Medicago truncatula: one gene and its partner. The protein of the gene in region 2 binds, or shares a complex with, the protein of the main gene of each other region. Links are inferred from orthologs where the notes say so. Each region holds a gene or a part of one and is shown on either strand. Other genes may lie near its edges.

Region 1 (11,013 bases), on a different chromosome or scaffold from region 2:
TAACTCCCAAACAAAGCCTGAGGGTTTGTTATTTGGCCCATGACAATAGAGACGTGATAAAATGAGCTATCATATCCCATCTCAATCCAATGTTTGACGAATGACGAGTCAACAAGATATGATAAGTTAATCTTGTCACTTTATCATATCCTAACTCTCTAGCTAAATTCTTATCATTGGATGATGGTTGGGTTAGAAACTAGATATGATTAAAAAAAAAAATGAATTCCTCATAATAGGTAGCAGGTTTATGAAGTTAACACAGAATGTAGTGGGTGTGAGATTAATTTAGTCAATTTATGAAGTTTATATAACCAGCATTTTTGAACACAATGCAAAAAGGCTCACATATCTCAACTGAAAACTTTTAAACTGTAGAGCTTTCACAGGAAACTCAGCCGTTACTTTTGAATATTTTATAACCACATTTTTTTCAACATAATCTGGAATTTGTTTCCTTATTTTCATCATCTCCCAAAGTGATTTACAGAAGCTTATCATCGATTGATTTACCATTCAACTGTTTTTCACATACACACAACAAGTTTCCTTTTGTGAAGCTCAAGTAAAATGAGAAATGCTAGCAGCACACTCTTTGAGACACTTTTTTCACACACTTCCTCCTATTAGTTGAAAATAATGCAGGTCCCACCAAATTTATGTGATCCAAATAATTTTGTGGAATCTTTTTCAAAAGAATGAAACTCATTTGAATTTCAACCAATAGGAAGAAGTGCATTGAGATTGTGTTAAAGAATGTGGTGCTAGCACTCCAAATAAAATGAAGTTAAACCACCCTAGGCGTTTCATCTGGGTTTGACAAATTCAGTGGAAAGGGCGTACATGAACTTGTTTAGACCAGCTTACTCGCAGGTTACAAGTCAAACTGGCCACAGTAGTCTAGTCCAGACAACTATGGTTTTTCTTAGAATTTTGATTTAGGATTTATCTCAATCCCACAAAACTGACTTGTAAGGTGAGGAATGTCCATGCTTTATAAGCACTAAATCATCTATAGTTGATGGGAACTCTAGACACACTCCCTCACACTTAGCACTAAACATCTAAAGTGTGGACTAATGTTGGTGGAATAACAAGGAACTCAACAGTCATATATGAAAATTTTAGACAAATGAAAAGGGAAACATTCAACAAGTACACTTAACAAAAGCCTGTAATTATGTGACAGAAAATTATGAAGATAGTGAATACATACACCCCAATTTGATGGTCTTGGTGGAGGATCAAGCTTCATAACCTCCTCCTCCAGTGCCTTCTTAGCCTTGTAGTAAGGGATGTTTTTACCTATGACAGGATCATCCCTTGCACGGTCAGGATCTATAGATATCAAGGCCTGTGATAACAGTACGATTATAAATTATGTATTAAAAAATATATAAATTTGTGCAAGAGGTAAGAAAAAGAAGAAAATTGAGATGCTATAATTTCAAATACATGAATAACACAAAATATCTAGCATCCAACTATTTAAAAAATCACCTTGATTTTCAACAAAATTGTAAAAGTTTATCTGTTTTCCATTTATCAACTAGCTAAATATTTATTCCTACATAGCTACATTTATGTGCTTGCGTCCATAGCCAAGAGCATAACCAGCCATGAATACAAGCAACAATATTCAGTGCACAGTATACGAAACTTACATCGTTCAGAAACTCCCACCCAGGTTTTCTCGTGGCCACCTCATCTCGAAGTTGGTCCCACCTGGATTCCTAAACCCACACGCAAAAGAAATACGAATATTATTTATGGAGGTAAAATAAAAACAGCTTTGAATTGATTTGATCAAAAGCTTTAGAGCATAAATGTTATAGGTAATGTGTAGTTAGGCTGCATGATGCCTGGTTAACTTGAAAAAGCTACTGTATGGGAGGATAGAATAATCAACTTTATAAGTTACATAATCAGAGGTATTATGCACCTTCTGCCTTTTCTTCAAATTCTTTTTAAATACTCAATCTTGTTTTCTGCATCACCTTCCCCACCAATATAAAATCCATTCAAGGGTTACTCAAGCCCGTATAAACGTTTCTTCTTACAATTGACTAATAAAACCATATGCCTAACACACCATTGTGCAAAAAATGAATGGAATGCATGTGATTAGCAATAAAGAATAGTTATGGAGTTATTTCCTTGTTGGCATATAAGCTACACCATTTTGTTCAAAGAACGTCTTCTAAGAGATTATGCTTGTCAGTTAGAGAAATTACTGGAAGTGGAAAATAAACTTCGACGCATTTCCTCAGCAAATTGCAAAGGATGATTGTTTTGGGCAAATCATTTTCATACTTCACTCCTCATTTTCTAAGATGTTTTCACGCCCATCTTCATCACTACCGAGCACAACCGTGTTATTGTTATGTTAAGCCTAAAACCCTTGAAGTCAGTAGGCCAGCTCCATTAGTTTTGTTCTTTGATGTTTCTCTATTTCAGAGCACATATTCAAGTGAACTACTATCCTCTAAGTAGTTCAGTACTAGTATTGATAAGTCCAAAAGGAATAATTTGAACGAGCAAAGAGGACATTCAAAAGGAAAAATAAAAGCATATCAAAACCAATAAGGGGACAAATCAATACATGAATAGTTGAACTGAAACTGAAAAATAAGAAGGAATATGAACAAACAACCTCATACTCTGACAATATTGTCTTCTTTGCATTGTCGCCATAGGTAAATCCATACATAATCTGTGGATAGGCAATCAACCAAAATTCAGCAATATCGGGATCTTTCATGCTATCCCTTATGTGCTGAAAATATTAAAAACATAAAAAAGATTAAGAATACGGTGTCAAATAAGAGTGAGAATCTCAAATGAAAAAAATACTAATTAGTAGTTTGCATAAAATGTAAATCTAAGAGAAGCATTCACTCCGATGGTAATAGTACAGAGAGGTTAACAAATGACTATAAATGTATGGCATCAAGGTTTGTTTTCGTAGTATATGAGAGAGGTCTACATTATCTTATCAATTTTGACAATAATAGCAATTGGTCGGATAGAATTAGGTGAGAATTTAGAATGACGACTGACCTCATATGGATAATCCATCTTTTCCAAGACATTACGAGCTTGCCAATGGGGCTCCATAATCTTAAACAAAGAAAGGGCACGTAAAAATGGTAAGAATTATCACAATTTCAAATGATATTTAAGTTTAAAATATGAATCAGCAAAAATTAACAATTTAGAAAGAAAGAAAAAATAGGTTCAAGGAATTAAAGAAATTAACTCACACCATCAGCTGAAATCTTAAATGGTAATTTGTTTTTACATTCAGGACATCCCATTACACCCTGTGCAATATCGAAAAATTCTTCAACCACAAATCACAACAGCATTGGCGTGCAAAATTACTAGATCAATCATGTTAACAGCCATTGTATTGAGTTCATACCGTTCCATCGCAAATTGGACAGTCTTTTGATGGTAATGGTATCTGAGGATCGAAAGAGGATGATGGTATGTGCACTAACTCAGCCTGGTTGTTGACAATGGCATCTGCAACAGATTCGGCCGTCGCTTTCTCTCCACTAAAAGTGAATAAATAAATTGAAGAAGAAAATATAAGGTATTTATATATTAGTTCGAAGAGAGAATCCTATGAAATTATGATTAAAAAAATATGCTACAAGGAATCAAAATGGAGGGAGTTATTTACGGAAAAACACTTTACTGCACTATCTTACATACCCAAATTGTTCTAAATCAGATGTACGTTTTCTTAAGAGGCCTTCTAAAAGACCATCTAAGTAAGAGTCACTATAATCGTTTATAGTGCAAAGTTTATTACTTTAGAAGTTTCCTTGAACTATCTAGACATGTAACCAAAAATGAACCGAAAAGATAAAGATTGCAGAGTATTAAAATACAACTAGAATCTCAATTTATGAGATTGGAATCAACTGTTTTACAAGTTTGTGAGATCATTAATTCATTATTAAAAACTTCAACAATAACACTAAATAAACCACAAACTACATTGGAATAATGCCTGTAAACTCTGACTTTTTTCCACATGGAGAGTACTCACCTCTTCAGGTGGCAATTCTTCACTTGATAGTGGACTCTTCCACTTCCTCGACACATGGTACACCGCATGGCCTGCCATCCATTACATGTCACACAGTCCCTGTTCTTGATAACACATTTAGTTAGATTTCAATAATTCCAAAGGCAACAAACAACACTACACTAACCAAAGATTATACACATCATGTCCTCAAGTGAGGAAACAACAATCTATCTATTAATAAATACAAAACAAAACAGCACCTTTGACATATCACCTTCCTTCCCAAGTTTAATGCAATGTCATAAGTCCCCAAAGTAGCAACCGCCTACAATCAAGCCATGCAGCAATATTCATTATCAAATAAAGATAAAAACAAAACAAAGAACTAACAATGGTGATACTTGCATACAATGCAATTCCTGCAAACATCAAAAGAAGAACACTAGCAACACACTTTATAACATTTTTTCTGATACACTATCTATTATTTGATAAAAATTTACTCAATACATTTTGTGGTAGTCATTGACTAATTGATGAACTCAAATAAAGTCCATCAAAGAGTACAATAAAGGATGTATCAGCAGCAATTTTCAAAAAAAAATAATAATCTCATTTGATGAAACTAACATGTGCCCTTAATGTTAAGAAACTACATACATTATCCTTAAAAAAAAAAAAACTACAGTTGTGTAATCAATTTCTTAAATGTCCAAAAGCTGCTCTTTTCAATGCAAAATTTCTACATTCAAGTACCTTAACATGTGCCCTTATGGCAAGGGCACATGGTAGCACCCTTGATGAAATTACCTATGTAGCACCAACCTTCAAATTTCCATTTTTTTCAAACTATCATCGGCGTTGAAGTGTTAGTGCCATGTCTCGTGTAGGTGTCACAGTTTCATAGCAACATAACATTCATTTCAATTTTCGACAAAGCACCCAACATTAAATCTCATTTCCTCCAAAACCCAGAAACTAAGGAAAAATAAATAAACAAAAAAACATCAATAATTTCCACAAAACCCCACAAACCCAAAAACATAACCTCAACAAAACAACACAATTCACCTTAAAAAACACAAAATTGACAAATAGAACTAGTTGACGATAACCCAGATAAGCAAAACACAAAAAGAATCGATTTTTAAAGCTAAAATACAAAAGGGTAAGCAAAACTAACAAAAACAGAAGCAGCAGAGAGCTTAGAAACAAGCTCAGGAACACCAAAGCCACGAGGAGCAGAACCAGCAATATCAATTGCAACGGTCAAAGGAGTGAAGAGAACTTTGAAGGGGAAAGCAAAGACATCGCTAACTGTTTCGCCATAAGCGTTGTTGAATTCCTTGAAGCGATTTCTGAAGAATTTCTTGACGAAATTGCCGAAACCGCGAGGTCGTTTGGGCATGGCGTGGCGGGAGGAGAGTGACTGAGTGAATGAAAGGGAGTGGATAGAGAAGATAGATAGAGTTCAAAGAGGGAAAGGAGTTTAATAAATTTCACTACCTCATAATTTCATAAATCAATTTTAAATGTTTTTGATTAATTTTGTGTGAAAAGTTAGTTTTAGATCGTCAATTCGGTATCATAAAACTCTTATTTTATTGCGGTATTATTTATTTTTATGGAAATATTTATATAGCAATATAAAAACTCACATTTTGCATTTTTGGTTAAAAATAAATTCAATGATAAAAAAAAAAAAAATGTATCATGATAGATTATTTAATACAAACTAGTAGAAGACCCCTGCGGTAATTATATAAAAAACAAAATTTATATGTGTATATGAAAAAAAAGTCGATATGATAAAATATTGAAAATTTGAGATTGTCTTCTTTCTTCTTTTTATAAAAGCTTATTAGGTTAAGCTTTTGAATAATCCTGATCATAAGCTTGGTTTCCCTCCCCCTCACATGAGCTTACGTAATAAGGCTCACGCCAACATTAAATGCGGTTTTTTTTGTCAGGTAATCTAGTGGCCAGAATTTACCTTATAGAATGAATAAGTAGGGTGTCCGGGGTTCGAACCCCGGCCCCTGAATATAATAATGGACTGCGGGTTCTAACTAGCCATTTTCCTCCCAATTCTTGCTAACCTTGCATATACAAGTTTGAATTTGAATTGTCATTTCCGTCTTCAAAGCAATAATTTCGACAATAATAAATTCTCATGAACTCTACATTACTTATACACGAAGTTTACCAAATAATACTTTGTACGAAGCAACCAATTGTTTTTACCAAGGCACATTTCTTTGTCCATATGCAACATTTTGATTTCCATGACACCCCTATCTCCACTCTCCTTTGTTCCTTCTAATTTTTGAGAAACTTCTATGTGTTGCGCGTCCACCCCTCTACTGCCCTCACATGGCCATCCCAACAGAGTCTTTGCCTCAACAACACACAGTAATCAAACATCTATAGGGTTTCTGATTTCCTTATGCTTCAATATCTGTTAATATTCTTCTTTCTTTGTTTTCATCATTTCATTTGATTAATTCAATCTCATAGCTTCATTTTATCATTCTTGATTTCATCTTAAAATATTTTTCCTTTATCCCCCTTCTTCTTCATATTTGTCTCAAGAATTAGCTACGAAATTAATGGGACAAATATGGAATTGAAGGAGGTCAAGTGGTGGTTGATAGGAATTCTTGGACGCAAAACTAGATTGAACGAATACGGTGGTGGAAGGTGACTCAAACAATTGTAAATGCGACATTTATTGTTTCCTCAACGGATTTCCATGTAAAGATGTGTTATGAAACCTTTTTTTAATTATGTGATTCAAGTTGTTAGATTGACATTTATTTCTTTGTTCAGGTTTGAACTCAAACCTCCAACTTCTTATTCCTTAACAATTGATCTATACTTAGTTATTAGATTAGTTTTTCTCTTTTACCCGAGTTTGAACCAAGACCTCCAACTTCTTATCGTTCAAGATCAAACTATTGAGCTACCCAACCCCATCTCTTTTTTTTTTTTTTTAAGGAAACCCATCTCTTTTATTGTTGATTGATGCACAATCGATATAAAATACTCAATTGGTTTCCTATTATAAGTCCCTCTGACCAATATGAAATACTCCTAGAGTTATTTACTCAACAAAATAAGTTCAACGATGGCATTAGATTTGTTGCATGTTAAGAAAAATACTTTTTTTTTTTTGTGGTAGCTGGGGTTTGAACCCCGGACCTTATATATTATTATGCATTATTCATACTAACTGAGCTAAGCTCACAAGGACATATTATGAAAAATACTTTACGAGAGGGGATAAATTTACTAATTTTATTAAATAAAAAAATAAATATGTAAATTATTATATTGTTTTTATTCTCTAAGAGAAAATCCATTAATTAACTAGTTTTTTTGGTCGGCTATTATTTAGTCTCAAAAACTATCACTCTCTCTTCAATTTATTTATAAATATAATAATTCATCTTTAAATTACATAAAATCTATCAATTTGATTGCTAATTTTAATATTAGCTACTAATTAATTGATGGATTTCGTATATTTATGAATATTTATTGTATTTTCATAGAGATTATAAACCAGAATGGTAGTTTGATAATTAAATTAATAGTTTATGTCAAGAAAAAAAAATAATGTATAAGTAATTAGTAATCGGGGAAAATTCTTAAGAAGGGCATTTGGGTCATTTCCTCCTACATATATATAAGCTATCTCGTGAAAATTTTGTGTCACTTGGCTGATCATTGTAGCAAAATCAGTAAAGGAGGAAATGAATAACAAAGATGTGTGGATCAAAGGAAGTGGTAATCAATAGATAAAGTGTCTTCAAACATCAACAACAAAAACAGACCTAAATCTAAGTGTAGAGCAACACCACAAGCATAATCAAAGTAATAAAGATAAGCAATGAAAGAAAGGAACAAACACACCAAGATTGTTGGCTCAGTTCGGTCCAATATGACCTAATTTGGGGGAGAGAGCAGCCCTCCAATCCACTATGATGAAAGAGTTACAAAATAGTTACAAGAAATTAGCTTATAAGCTTACACAAGAACAAGACTTAATTTCTACCCATTTTGTGTCACCCTCACTCTCAATGAATCTTAAGAGAAAACACAAAAGGAAGCTTTTTGATCCTTCCAATGGCGAAATCTCACTACCCAAGGTGTTTACAATGTTCCCCAACCCAAGAGATCCTCACTACAAAGACACTCAACCCTAAAGTTACCTCCTTTGTAATCCAAGTTTCTCTCTCTAAAAGCTCTTCTTCAAAATCTGCACAAGAACACTTATATAGCAGTCTTCAGTTGTCAAAATCGTGTCATGTTTGTCCAAATCGTGACACGATTGGTGCGTACGACCCAAGGTACGGCCAACCTTATCTTGAAAATGTGCCCAGCAAGTTGAAAATTGTGTCACGTTTTCCTAAAAACGTGACACGATTGAGCACCCTGAAAAACCATGCTCGCTGCCTGAAAATTGTGACACGACGTGTCACGATTTCTCTATTCTCCCAAAACACAAATTTGAAGACAAATTTCAACAATTATGTTTATAAGAAATTATATAAGCAGTTAAGTTATGGCATTCGCACTTCGCGTCAGTACTGGAGTTGAGGTTCCCCGTCAGTAGTGGACATACATTTTTCCAATGCAAGTCCTACATGACGATAAGAGGAGTTCCGATGTTAGCCTGATACAATATGAAATTTCATCAGACAACAGTGGAATGTGGTTGGGGTTACTCTACCCGATGCATTCCGTAAAATGAACTCTGATAATAATTGTGTGTTACACGCTCACAGTGCTAACCAAAAAGAATGATAACATGAAATATGATATGATATGACAAGAATTATGATAGTATACTGTCAATGATCCTAGACTTCCCCAGATCGATACGATGTGCAAAATAGAACAACAAACCCTAAATTATGTTTATGTACAAATAAATGACGATCATAGGTTTCCAAGATTGCCTATAGTCTAGGATAAGTGGAACTCACTAAGACATCATGTCTCACCCCAATCCCTTTATTTCATTTTAGATAAGCAGGTTGATCGTGGCAAAGGCAAGTAGAAGAAGCTGGATGACTATGTACAGTTGTCTCTTATTATGTCATCAATTGTATTTCCTTATGTATAGTGTACTCATTAGTTACTGTATTATTACTTAAACAAGCATTTTACATTTTGTACTTGCAAGATTACAAACATCATTAAATAAATGAACCTAAAATATTGAGTTTTGCTTATAACCGTAACTGGAGGATATAATTAATTATTTTTTCTTATACCTTAAAGTCTCAAGGAAGTTAGCTCTAATAACTTAAAGTTCACTTTAAGATAAGTAAAGTCTTATAAAAGATTGTTTCAACTAAAATATGAACTCGATGCATTTCAAGAGCGTTTATAATCCAATTAATAAATTAATTAACATATAGATACTGTAAAGTATTATATTGTTAAAAAAATAACTGGTAGTAATAAAAAATTTAGTACAAAGTCAAATAAACATAATCTACTAATTTTTTTCTTGAAGGAAACATAATCTAATAGTTATTATATCATGAATTTTAGTTTTTTTACTACTAGTGAGATCAATGTCTTTATTTTTTTGCAGGGATAGTTATGTCTTTAGGGTGCTAATGTTAAATCACACATTAAAATTAATATTTTCATGTAGTTAAAGTATATTATCGCATCCTTTTTTTACCCAAAAAAAATTCATTATTCTCATATAGCGATCAAGTTTATTATCACATCCCTTTTTGCACCCAAAAAGAAAAAATCATTATTCTCACATAATTGATTTAAATTGATTACTCATAAAAATACATTACAAATTTTTTATAATCGATGAATGAAAAATTATTATTAATTACAGTGAAATTAATGATCATTTTACAATAAAGTCAAATGTTATTTGAATTTTTCCCCAATAGTCTTCTATGGGATTTGAACTTCGCCCTTTGAGGTTACAAATTTCATCCATATCAAAACCTCAAGGACAAATTCATTACATTTTTATTTATTTATCTTTAGTAGTATCATGCATCCTAATAAGTTATCTAAGCTATTTTGAAAAGAGGGGATTTAAGAGAAGGATTTGAAAATGGACCCTCAACTAGCCCTTTTGCTATTAGCTTATAAGCTGCTTCAGTAAAGTGAGGTCCGTCCCAATTTATACGCTTTGAAGGATCAGAGCAAACTATAGCGACAAGTGATCCACATCCTCCACAACATGCTTTGAAAATAGCATCCTTATCAAAACCTGCATAATTAATTTGATTGATCCAGTAAGCATGCATAAATGAAATAAAAAGGAATAATTTTTGGTAGCAATAGCAATCAAATACGTATATTGTTATTTCCAACATATATAATTATATATAAATACTGCTCACCATATTGTTGCGGTGTTTGATATAAACGTTTGGCATCATTATAGTAGTCAAAGTATATTATCTTAACTTCAGGGTGCTTCTGTCTTAGTGTCTCTATAGAATTTTTTAGTTGCCCATTAAAGTACTCGACTAAATTATTGTAAGCTATTAAGCACCCAAATTCATCATAGTCTTCTTTCTTATTACTATTCACCAATGTTAACATTCCAGCACTGCATCCCATCGGAAAATTCCCAGGTACCACTAGCTCTACAGCTCCTTCTTCGACTAGCACCTAGCACATAGAAACAAAATCAATGTCACATTTTTTCACGCGGATGATCCAATCAATGATATTTCTCTTTGAATTATAATTTAGTGAAGTAGTCATTCCAAAACTTAATTGCAATAAAACATACATTTGTGGTGTTAGTAATGGCTTCAACCATAAAGGGAACTATTTCTCGAAGTTCTGTAACAGTTTTATTCTTCATATGCTTCATAATATCGTTGCCACCAATTTCTCCAACTATAAACAATGATTTCTTGAAGTAGATATTGCAATCTATCATACAATGAAGCAAAGTTTGTTAGCCATAT
Region 2 (11,594 bases):
AATTGTTTTGGCCAAGAATAAATGGAGATGGAATGAATTAGCATGCCTTGGATAACACTCTTTACAAGGATAACTCTACCAGCCATACTTAACAGAGAGGCTTTCCAAGCTGAGAGTTTGATCTTTATCTTGTCTGCAATAGGTTGCAGGTGGGATTTCTTAGGCTTCCCTTTAAAAATAGGAACCCCTAAATAAACAAAAGGAAGAGAGCCTTTGTTAAAACCAATAAATTGAGAGATATGATCAATCCTGGTAGTGGAGATAGAACCATAATAGACAGTTGACTTAGCAGGGTTGATTATCTGGCCAGATGCAAGAGCATATGCGTTGAAAAGATCCATAAGAGCTTGAATTGAAGATACTCTACCCTTACAAAAAATCATAATGTCATCTGCATAGAGCGAATGTGAAGGTACGTTGACTGATCTAGAGCCTCTGATGAGATCCAATTTGCCTTGCTCCACCAGTTTGGTAATGTTTCTGCTTAAAACATCTTCAGCCATGCAGAACAATAACGGTGAAAGAGGGTCACCCTGCCTCACTCCCCTTTTGCACTTAAAGTAGCCATTTTGTTTACCATTCACATAAATAGATAGAGTAGCAGAGTTTAGAATAGTTTGAATCCATGAGCAAAATTGCTGGTTGAAACCAAATTTGTTCAATACATTGAGAAGGAACTTCCATTCTAGGGTATCAAAAGCTTTAGAAATATCTACCTTGAAAGCCAAGTTACCTGCAAAAGCTTTATGATGAAGATGGTTAATAGCTTCAGAAGTGACACAAATACAATCTCTAATATTCCTTCCTTGGATAAAACCTCTTTGTTCCGGGGAAATGAGATTCTTCATTAAAGGAGCTAGTCTATCCGCTAATATTTTAGAAATAATCTTGAATTTGAAATTAGCTAAGGCTATTGGTCTATATTGTCCCACAGATAACGCATCAGGGACCTTGGGAATAAGAACAATTGTGTTAGCGTTATAGTTTGGTAGGATCCAATCTCTCTTGAAAAATTTTAAAACTGCATTAGTGACATCCAATTTGATTATGTCCCAGAAGGATTGATAAAAAACTGCCCCAAAGCCGTCGGGGCCAGGTGCCCCATCCTTGTTCATATCCATCACTACTTTGTGAATCTCTAATTGAGTAGGAAGCCTGGTGAGTAACTGATTCATCTCCTCATTTATCATGTTGGGAATTGTTCCATCTAATAGCTCCTGAACCTGCAAATCCTGCACAGAAAAATTAGTTGAAAAAATATTTTTGAAGTGGTTTGTAATGTGACTTGATATTAAATTTGGCTCAGTAATCATGTTATCCCCATCCTTAATGGAAGTGATGAGTTTAGAGGTGTTTTTGATTTTGGTTAGTCTTTGGAAGTATCGAGTGTTTCTGTCCCCATTAGCATGCCAAGCTACCTTAGATTTTTCTCTCCAAAAATCTTCCTCTTTATCCAAGGCTAACTCTAAATCAACTTGTGCAGCTTTCTGTTGTTCAAATAAAGAATCACTATTTCCGAGCACATCAATGTCATTCTAAGTAATAAAGAAACCACAATATCAATTAGAATTGCTAACAGAGAAAAAATATCAAAGAAAAATAAAATCATTCTAAGTAATAATGTAACAAAGAGCATTGATTTTCTTCATTCTTTGTTCATATATCGTTTCTAGCGTTTTCAATATGATTGATTATGCTCACAAATAATACTCTCTTAAAAGATTGTGTTCTTATATCTACTAAAGTCATGAAAGTATCATGCAACTTTTTTCCTGGTAACCTTACTAATGATGATAGCAAGTTCATGCATTACTTTCTCAAAGAATAATTATACACTGATCAAATCTTATTAGGTTGCTAGTTCAAATTTATTGAAGTGAAGGGATTAATTACTAGTGATATGCCCAAAAAAAGTATTACATTATAAATGAAATCATATACCAAAATAATGAAAGATTACTAAAATTTTGTTCCAAATCCTCATTTTCACATTCAATTGGATCATGAACTTAAACTTACTACTTTGCTCCACCAATCTCCTTTGCGATTCCAACAGATCTATTGTGTGGAGGTGGGAATCTCTTTTCCTCTCCATGGTTGTGCTCAGATATGTAGAGATGACACCATCGGCTGATCTCGACTACTCATTTGAGAAAATTGGCAATGGTTAGAGAATTCTACTTCAAATGAAGAGTGTCACTTATCCATAAAGAATCATCAACAATACTGTCTGGAAAATAATTTAAGCAGGTTTGTATTCAAAGAAAAACTCATGTTTGTTAAGCTTCAATACTGTCCATTGTTGTGGTGGAAAAACAAAGATGCATAATTCGTAGGCTGTTTTAAGATTTCTAGTGTAATGAGGGCAATAGAATTTGCAAAAGCTAAAAATTGGAACAATCTTTGGTTATTTTGCTTTCAAATCATCTGAGTGGTGCCTTGGTAGTTAAGAAAAAATGGCCTAATTGTCTTACTTTAATTTCTAGCAAGAATTTCTTAGTGACACATATTTACAAAGAGGGTAGCACTTATGGTGATGATTTAGCCACTATTGGCTTGTCCTTGATCTCTTTTGTTTACTTTTTTTCTATTCCTTTAGAAGCTATGAGTGATTACATTAAAAATTAAAAATAGACTTGGTTGGCCTAATTTTAGGTTAACTCACACTTGAGAAGGTTTTGGAGTTGTCCCCCTTCTTTTTTTTAATCAATTTTCTTTGGTTAATTTTTTGTTGGGTGAGGTAGCTTCTTTCTACTCACTTGGATGAAAAAAATTAAAATATCTCTTCCCCAATTTAATATAAAAAATCACATATATAAATATCTTGAAAATAAATCTGAAAAATGGTATAAAAGTATTAGTATATTTTCATAGAGATGTGAAAATATTCTCAATTAAAATGTTCCTTTTATTATTCTTAAATTGTTATTCGTAAACTGAAAAGATAGTAAAAAATATAATTTGTTCAATAGTGTACTTCAAATTTCTTTGCTTCTTTCTGAATGATCTGTTGTATCCACTTTATCTGCACATAGGTTTGTTCGTTTCTAATTAAAACACATCTTCTTTTTAACCATCAATGACAAAACGTACTGCTGAACATGGACAATGACATTTCTCCAGACAAAACTGGTTAGATGTTTTTCAAAGCATTGAATGTTGACTTCATCCTTCAAATAATAGCTTTGCTGTCAGAGCTTCTCTTGAGCATCAGAGTTTTTTTTTTTTTTTTGGTCAAGTAGTCTAATGGCTAGAGCTCACACAATTTAATTGTGGAGAAGTGAAGTGTCCGGGGTTCGAATCCCTGCCCCTGCATATAAAATGCGATATCCCTACCAATTGAGCTAAGGTCACGGGGATAGAGTTTTTCTTCTTTACTCATAGTAATATATAACAAAGTTAGAATGTTGACTTGAAAGTCATATTTTAATTCTATTGTAAATTTTAAAAAGAAGCAGCTATAATTAAAATCAATTCATTTTTATTCTAACAATTACAATTGATTTACATTATACATTTATTTTGTACTGACAACTTACATGAATAAAAATCTAGACAAAATTACTCGTTATGACACATGTCGCCTCTAAATTACTTGATTTTCTACCCAATAAACAATTCCATGTCTTGGTTCCTAAAAGGGATATATGGGTGAATCAAAATTGATTGGTAATAATAATAATTGAAAATTGGATTTTCTTCCCTATAAACTTTTCGATGCCTTGGTTCCTAGACATAATATATGGGTGAATTAAAGTAGATAGATAATATAAATTAAAAATTAAAAAATAAAACTTAAAAAGTTCAACTAATTTTTCCATACACATAGACACAAACATTTTGTTGGCACAGTTTGTAGAGGACAACATTTAGGGTTATAAACCATGACTTCCTCTCTTAGTAAATTCTACACCATATTCATCTTGATCTTGCTTTGTCTTGTATTTCTCCTTATTTTCACATGGGGTAAAAATCAACTAATAAACCTATATTTATTTGCACGTGCTTCTTTAATTCTATGCCTTGTTTAAGTTTTTATTTTTTAGTTTTTTAATTTCTTTTATTATTATTTTTTAATTTTATGTGTAGAGGTGGAAGCAAAACTTTGTGGTAAGCCAAATAGAACATTGTCAAGCCCATGTATTGACTCAGTGTGCTATGCAAAGTGCATCGACTCGGACTTGGATGCAGTATCTGGTTCTTGTGAAGGCTTTTTTACTTCTGAATGCTTTTGTTACTACGAATGTTGAGAAATGAGTTTTCCTTCGAGCAATTTCTGCCTTTGACATTTTTGTCAAATTTAAAATACTCTCTATAGTCTCACATATACATAAGTACTAGCATAAATGACCCGTGACAAGAGCATGTTAGTTTTTTATATAAAAATGTAGATCATTTTGGACTATCATGTGAAATTCTATTTATATTATGTAAAATTTAAAATGTAATGAATAAACCGTTGGAACATATTTTGAACACTTACATTATCCCTTCCAACAATATATACTTGTTGCTACGAAGACTTTTGCAGCTAAATTTGTAGCAACTCTCTAGCAAACTACCTTAGCTAGAAGTTTGCTACAGAATACCTATTGAATTGGCAGTAGCATTAATTGAGTGACAAATTTTCTAGGGAAATTGTTCTTGGTAAATCCATAGTAAATAGAAAAAAAATCCTAACAGATATTTAGCTATTAGATTGTGTTCTTGTATCTACTAAAGTCATGAACGTATCATGCAATTACTTGTTTCCTGGTAACCTTACCAATGATGATAGCAAGTTCATGCATTACTTTCTCAAAGAATAATTAAACATACACTGTGGAGTAACAACTTTTGATGGGTAGAGAATAGTCAAACATCAAATGGCTCGTCATACCTCTATGACTTGTGACTTCTACCAACTTAATTGCAACTTATAAGATACATACTAATTTTCTCCAGAAAATAGCTTATAATCTAGACTGGTTTCTGGATTATAAGATACATACTAATTCTTTGTTCATATATCGTTTCTTCAGAGTTTGTTTTATATAGACTTGCAGCAATAGTAACTACAAAATAAATATTGGAGATTTGCTCCTATTTGCATATTATGATATGACTATATTAAATCCATACAATAATTACAAATTTCAACACATATATTTACAATCATCTCATTACAATTGATATTAGAAGTGGCAAGTGCTTAGTTTCTTATATTTCTCCTAGCTGCTCTACTCTTTTCACTATCTGTGAAATAAACATGTGTCCCTTGCCAACAGAAAAGAACACTAAATTAATACATAAATTGAAAATTTTGGGCATAAGAATATATTGGTGGATACATAGCAAAGAAGCTATGAAGCTCGGATAAGGATACAAGTGCGATTACGATACGATACGGGTACACGGATATATGAACTTTTTTAAATGTAGGATACAATACGGCACATTAATAAAAAATTTATACTAGAACTTAAATGTATGTAAAATACTTGAATGAAGTAAACATTGATTATTCTTTATTATTATATTAATATAAAAGTCAAAATTTTACAAAAATAATACATGTGATCAAAATAAAAAAATGTAAAGTTTTCTTATAAACCATATTATATTTTCATATGTTCAGATATCGAGTGAAGCATAATTAAAAGAACTCAACACAAATTTTATTTAATATTGATTAACTGAATCACATCTCTCTCGTTATCTTCATCCCACAAAAAATATAATTTTAAGTGGTTCATCGAGAAACAATTCTACTGATGCATATCTAAAATTGAATCATATACATCTCAATTCAATTTTTACAACATTGTCTCAATTTTTTACTCCTCATATTTTCTAGGATAAGTATATGTAAAGTATCTTATAAGTATCATTGTGTATATGTGGAGTATCATATAAGTATCCGACAAAATATTTTTTAAAAAATTTAAATAATTAATTCCGATACTTTGTGCTTACGTATCCACGAGTATAATATTGATATCCGATACGAATACGTCTCTATTTTAAAGTATCTGAGCTTCATAGCTAAGAAGTATCATAATTATTCTTTTTACTTTATAAAAAATATTTCAACAAATACCTATGAAATACTACTTCACGAATATAACCAAATACACATCTTGTGAAAGATAAGGGCATAAGGTGAGACAAGGTTGGTGAAGTTGTTTCTCGATGACCAACATTAAAAAATAAAAAATTTATATTTAATTTATGTTCAGTTAAAAAATTAGAATTATTTTTGGGACATATTCTTATAATATTTTAAACATTCCTAAAGATTTTCATTAAAAAAATAAGAAATGAAATTGAAATTTTTTAAGAGATTAAAAGTGAAAGAAATTTTGTAGAGGAATTAAAAAACATATTTAACCCAAAAATATAAATGATACACATGAATTGATTTAAATTTAGGAACCAAAATTGTAGATAATTTTCATTTAACATTTTAAAATAGGTTTAATAGCAGTATTGGCCTCTTAATTATCAAAAAGTTGAGATTTTGACCTCCTAACAAAATAAAATACAATCCAGCCCCTTAAGTATTTCCCTTTTGTAGTTTTGGCCTCCAATGCCAATTTTGACCAAGTCAATGCTGATGTAGACCCCACTTGTGTAACTTTTTTATTTTTATATTAAAAAAATAAAAAAATTATTTTTTAATTAAATTTTTTTTTGTACATTGACTTGGTCAAAATTGGTCTGGGGTGCCAAAACTGCAAAAAGGTCGGTATTTAGGGGGTTGGATAATTGGATTTTATTTTGTTAAGATGCCAAAATCGCAACCTTGTGATACTTAGAGTGTCAAAACTGCTATTAAACCTTTAAAATATTATCAATTTAATTATTTTTTATAGGCAAAATTACACATTTAGTCCCTTAACTTAATTTCAGATAACAGTATGGTCCTTTATCTTTTTTTCATTTCAATTTGGTCCTTTTTGTCTATTTTCATGAGTTTTTAAACTTAAAATTCATGATTTTATTTTCTTATGGTCCTTCAGTCTTTAAATCTATGATCTTCGTCTATGTTTGTATAAGAATTTAGATTTGAAACTTGAAAATGTATATGAAAATGGACAAAAAGACCAAATTAAAAAAAAAAAAAGGTAAAAGACCAAACTGTTATCTGAAATTAAGTTAAATGATTAAAAATGTAATTTTGCATTTTTTATATGATTAGATAAATAAATGAAACAAAGGATGATGGATAAACCCCTTCATCCTCAACGTAACATAAACCCCAAAATTCCAAAATCATCTTTACTACAGAAATGAAACCAAGAACCTCCTGCTCCATGTAGAAAAATCCATCAATGGCTCTCAAATTTCCAAACCCTTCAAACCCATTTCTTCTTTCATCATCACCACTAACCCCATCTCTTCAAAATCCTAACTTTTTCACTCTACACTTCAGTAACCATCGCAGAAAGCTCAAGCTTCGAGCTTCATCTACAGCAGACCCAAATGGAGCTGATGGGTCATCTTGGTCAGAGTCATTGGACCGCGCTTCGAGGCGGTTTTTGGTGAAATTTGGAGATATGGTGAAGAAAGAGACGGGTGTTGATTTGGGAGATGGGGTTGGGAAGGTTGGTGAGTTTGTGGATGGTGTGAGGAAGGTTGGAAGTGAGTTGAGAATTCCGAGTTTGGATGAGTTTGTTGATTGGAACCGGTTCGAGAATTGGAAGGTAATGAGATTTTTACTTTTGTTGTTAGTTTTATTCATAGGTGATACGAGATAGAATTTAGGCCGTGCTTGGATAAGCAACTTATTTGCAGCTTATAGCACAAATGCGTATGTATAAGCTAGTTATATAACAAAAGATAAATGAAAGTTAAATTGTTATTGTATATGCTGTAAACTGTTTCAATAAGCTATCTTCGAGAACTTATGAGAATAAGATGAAAACAGCTTATGACCAGACATTGGTCATAAGCTGTTTTCGTAAGTTCTCACAAAACTCATGCCGTTAGGTAAACTCAAATAAGTCAATCCAAACAGACCATTTAGTGTTTGGTTTGTTAAGATTGTTTCGTTTTCATTGGGATGATGTTTGAGTTTTGGTATAATTGTTACTTGTTAGGGACTGTTAATTTACCGATAGTTACAAATTTTATTTTCAGTATCTGTTGTATTGAACATGAAAATGTGAATAGGAAATAAGGTGACATTTTTGTAATTATAAGTGAAACTAGAAAAATGATAGTTATAGTTCCGTAAGTACAACTTAAATAGTAAAAGGGTGCAGGGACACTTGACATTCGGGGGTGCAGGTTCGAACCCGCAGTTCTCCACTTCTAGTGTTTGACAACATCGCTTTACATACTTGACAGGATATGATATGATAGGATAGCATTGCATTTGTTTGATGAGTGGGAGTAGATTATTTGAGCTTATCTATAGACATAAGCACTCAAGAGACTGTTTAAGAGAGCTTATGGAAGAAACTTATGATATATTTATAGGCTGTTTTCGACTTATTTCAACAAGTTCTCTAGGATAGCTTATGAAAACAGCTTACAGCTTATATAAATTATTTTTGATTTGATTTTATCTTTTGTTATAGAGGTAGCTTATACATAAGCTCTTGTATGATTCACGCTTCTGATCTAAACACTTAATTAAACTGTTTATTTAAACAGGGACATAATATCTCTCATTTTCTTTACATACCTGATAGGATTGATAGGACAGGATAGCATTGCATTTGTTTAATGAATGGGATCGACTTTGTTGGCATTTATGTATTTTCTATCCTAGAACCATTTGTGTCCTGATAAATTTGTTTTGACCGAAAGAGATGCTATATAAACTGTTGGATCAGCATGGCAGAAGTGGATTACTTGCTTTATTCGTATAATTGGCTCCAGTTACTTTTGTTATTATCTATTTCTTTTTAAATATGAACTAAAACAATGTAGTTTATTCTTATACCAGAATGTCAAGAACTGGGAACCTAGGCGAATCGGTGCTTTAGTTCTGTATATATTTGTTGTAGCATTTGCTTGTCGAGGAGTATTTGTAGCAATTCAAGCACCTTTCCTAAACCACCAGAGGAAAGAGTCGACTGAAGCCTACATGGAAGTGTTAATTCCCGCGCCAACCCCGACTAACATCAGAAAGTAAGTCAAGCCTCGTTTATTCATTATGTTTGGCATTCATATGTTATATACACTTTTGACATATCAAATTGTTGGTTATAATTCTCTTAGAAATTAAGTTGTTCATTTATCGAACTTTTTCTTCTTCTTTCGGAATGTATAATATTCATTCACTACTTAAATCCTACTCAATAGAGTTCTAGTTACTAAAACAAGACAATAGTAGAGAGTGTTCAAAAGAGAATGTGGGTAGCTCGTCTCTTTGAACTACATGCTGTCTTGTTGATTTGACCAAGACATGCTTGATGTTGAGTGTTCCATTTTCTTGGCCTTGACATTTCATGAATGATGATGTATTTACACCCTTGGTTTCAAATTGAGGACTGTGCTATTTAATGCAGCCATAATAGTAGTCGAGGAGTTATAACCAGCTTGTCTAGAGTTCAAACACTGGAAACTAACATAACCACTAATTTACTTATAATAACATTTTCCTGTAAAAAAATAGTAGTTGAGGCATGGCATTTGGCATCATGTCGAATTGTGGGGGGTTTCAAATATCCTCAAAAAAATCATCCACTATGTATTTGCGGCGACTGCACCAGCTTATAGAAATAATGCTGTATTTTTTATTTCAAAAATAAAATTTCATGGCCAGAAGCTTGAAAAATTTCGAAGCTGTTTTGACAGTAACTGGCATTGTATTTGCTCCCTGCAGCAGTTACAATTACAGTGACCAAAAATCTAGTATGTAACCTCAACTGTAATTTAATTTAAAGCTATGACCACAACTTCTCCATGAACTAAACAATACTACAACATTAATGATGCTAGTACTTATAAATCATTATCTGTGAATTTTCTTGCGTATAATTTTGACATTGCCCTTAAAACCCCCAAAAGCTTCTCGCCACTGTTCAAACAATTGCTGACCTATCTGAATACTAAATTGAAATCAATTTCATGTACTGAATCATTTAATGTGTTGTATGCATTTAACCAAGGTTTTCATCATTTAATTGTAGATTCAAGAAGGTCGTGTGGAGGAAGACAATGCCAAAAGGCCTGAAAATTAAAAAGTTTATTGAAAGACCTGATGGAACACTTGTTCATGATTCCACTTTTGTTGGAGAGGATGCATGGGAGAATGATCAGGAATCTTCTGATGAACATGTAAAACAAATTGTTGGGGATGAAGAAAGGTTAAACAGTGAAGAGAAGAACGAATTAACCAAAGACCTGGCCATCTCAGGTTCTCTTTAATTTATACAATTTTTACTCTTTCATTTTTTATATTATTATTATTTTATTTTTTTACTTTGTCTCATGATCTGTGTTTTTCATTTTGGATATATAGAGAAGTTGTTATTATGACTTAGAGATGTAATATTGCACAACTTCATTACTGATAACAATTTTCCCTCAAAAAAAAAATTACTGATAACAATTTATTTCCTCGTGTCCTCTGTATTAAGATAAGATGATACCGATAAAAGTGTATGCTGCAAGTACTGGACTATCATCGTCTTTCTTGTAGTTTGATTTCACATACAAAACATAAACTGGTATTTAACAAACTTCTTTCGAGACTATACAATCAACTCCGCTGACTTGCCACATAATTTTAAAATTGGAATAACCGTAGAAAAGGTCATTAAACCTTGTTTTGTGGGAAGTTCTAGTTGTAAACCATGATGATTATATCTGTGTCAAAAATATTATTTGATTACTTGATAATGCAATTTTCCTGAATGAACTGCAATATCAATTTACATTTGCACAATTGTCTTAGGTTACCAAAATGTAGAACTTCCTTAACTTCATTTGATCCATTTAGATGAATCCACCATGTGAGATAGGGTCTTTTGGATTGGAGTACCGTTAATGACCTTATCTTTGAGGTTGACCTAGTCCTCTCTTTGTCAGGATTTGCATGTATCCCTTCTAAATTTCTTCTTACTGAGGTTACTTACATATCACTAGGATGGTTATGGTCATAATACAAATACAGCAATTCTATTGGGAATTGGATTTTTTTTTTAAATTCTTAATGAAGTACATTTTCATGTTCCAAAGCAGGCGAAGTTCAAACTGAGGGCACATGGCGTGAGAGACTTCATAAATGGAGGGAAATCCTTGGAAAAGAACGTCTTGTTGAGCAATTAAATTCCTTAAATGCCAAATATGAGGTTGATTTTGACATGAAAGAGGTTGAAAATAGTCTTCGCAAAGAAGTTGTAGAAAAGGTGAGAACCACTCAGGGAACAAGGGCTCTGTGGATAGCTAAGAGATGGTGGAGATATCGTCCTAAACTTCCTTATAATTACTTTCTTGACAAACTTGATAGTTCGGAGGTGGGTTTGTGTATATAATTCTATTGCCCTTTATATTCTCTTTCCTTACAAGAATATTTATATATCATCTGACCAAACAGTATGAATAGGCTGTTGTGTATAATTTGGTCCTCTTAGTTTCCAAGTAGTATGCATGCAATT

The links.
Region 1: the proteins of ATP-dependent zinc metalloprotease FTSH 12, chloroplastic (region 2) and uncharacterized protein are in contact, whole or in part, in a cryo-EM structure (PDB 8XKU), measured with the Arabidopsis thaliana proteins. The link is inferred for Medicago truncatula from reciprocal best matches to the Arabidopsis thaliana genes FTSH12 and emb2737. Residues at the interface, in NP_565212.1 of Arabidopsis thaliana: Lys126, Asn127, Pro131, Ile134, Asn137, Lys138, Trp139, Trp142, Leu156, Ala160, Phe161, Leu163, Leu164, Cys167, Gln168, Tyr171, Met323, Glu327, Leu330, Val334, Ile335, Glu381, Asp382, Leu383, Leu404, Pro406, Tyr407, Phe409, Glu410, Cys413; in NP_001032071.1 of Arabidopsis thaliana: Thr82, Ile85, Ala86, Leu89, Lys92, Ser160, Ala161, Pro162, Leu163, Pro164, Ser165, Lys166, Ile195, Met196, Glu197, Pro198, Pro199, Ala202, Val205, Leu206, Met209, Tyr211, Pro212, His215, Ser224, Ile225, Phe228, Thr232, Leu233, Ile236.

Annotation. Positions count from the first base shown.
Region 1 is NC_053043.1:39,210,080-39,221,092, forward strand, and holds the start of uncharacterized protein, read right to left. Parts: upstream 5,518-11,013; 5' UTR 5,451-5,517; coding exon 5,226-5,450; intron 4,368-5,225; coding exon 4,303-4,367; intron 4,160-4,302; coding exon 4,061-4,159; intron 3,561-4,060; coding exon 3,425-3,560; intron 3,324-3,424; coding exon 3,264-3,323; intron 3,121-3,263; coding exon 3,061-3,120; intron 2,777-3,060; coding exon 2,654-2,776; intron 1,734-2,653; coding exon 1,665-1,733; intron 1,355-1,664; coding exon 1,217-1,354; intron 1-1,216. Other genes in the region: GDSL esterase/lipase At5g45910, read right to left, coding at 10,099-10,301, 10,435-10,708, 10,833-10,978.
Region 2 is NC_053049.1:19,166,754-19,178,347, forward strand, and holds the start of ATP-dependent zinc metalloprotease FTSH 12, chloroplastic, read left to right. Parts: upstream 1-7,195; 5' UTR 7,196-7,313; coding exon 7,314-7,685; intron 7,686-8,935; coding exon 8,936-9,120; intron 9,121-10,124; coding exon 10,125-10,351; intron 10,352-11,175; coding exon 11,176-11,453; intron 11,454-11,594. UniProt on the Arabidopsis thaliana protein: Probable ATP-dependent zinc metallopeptidase.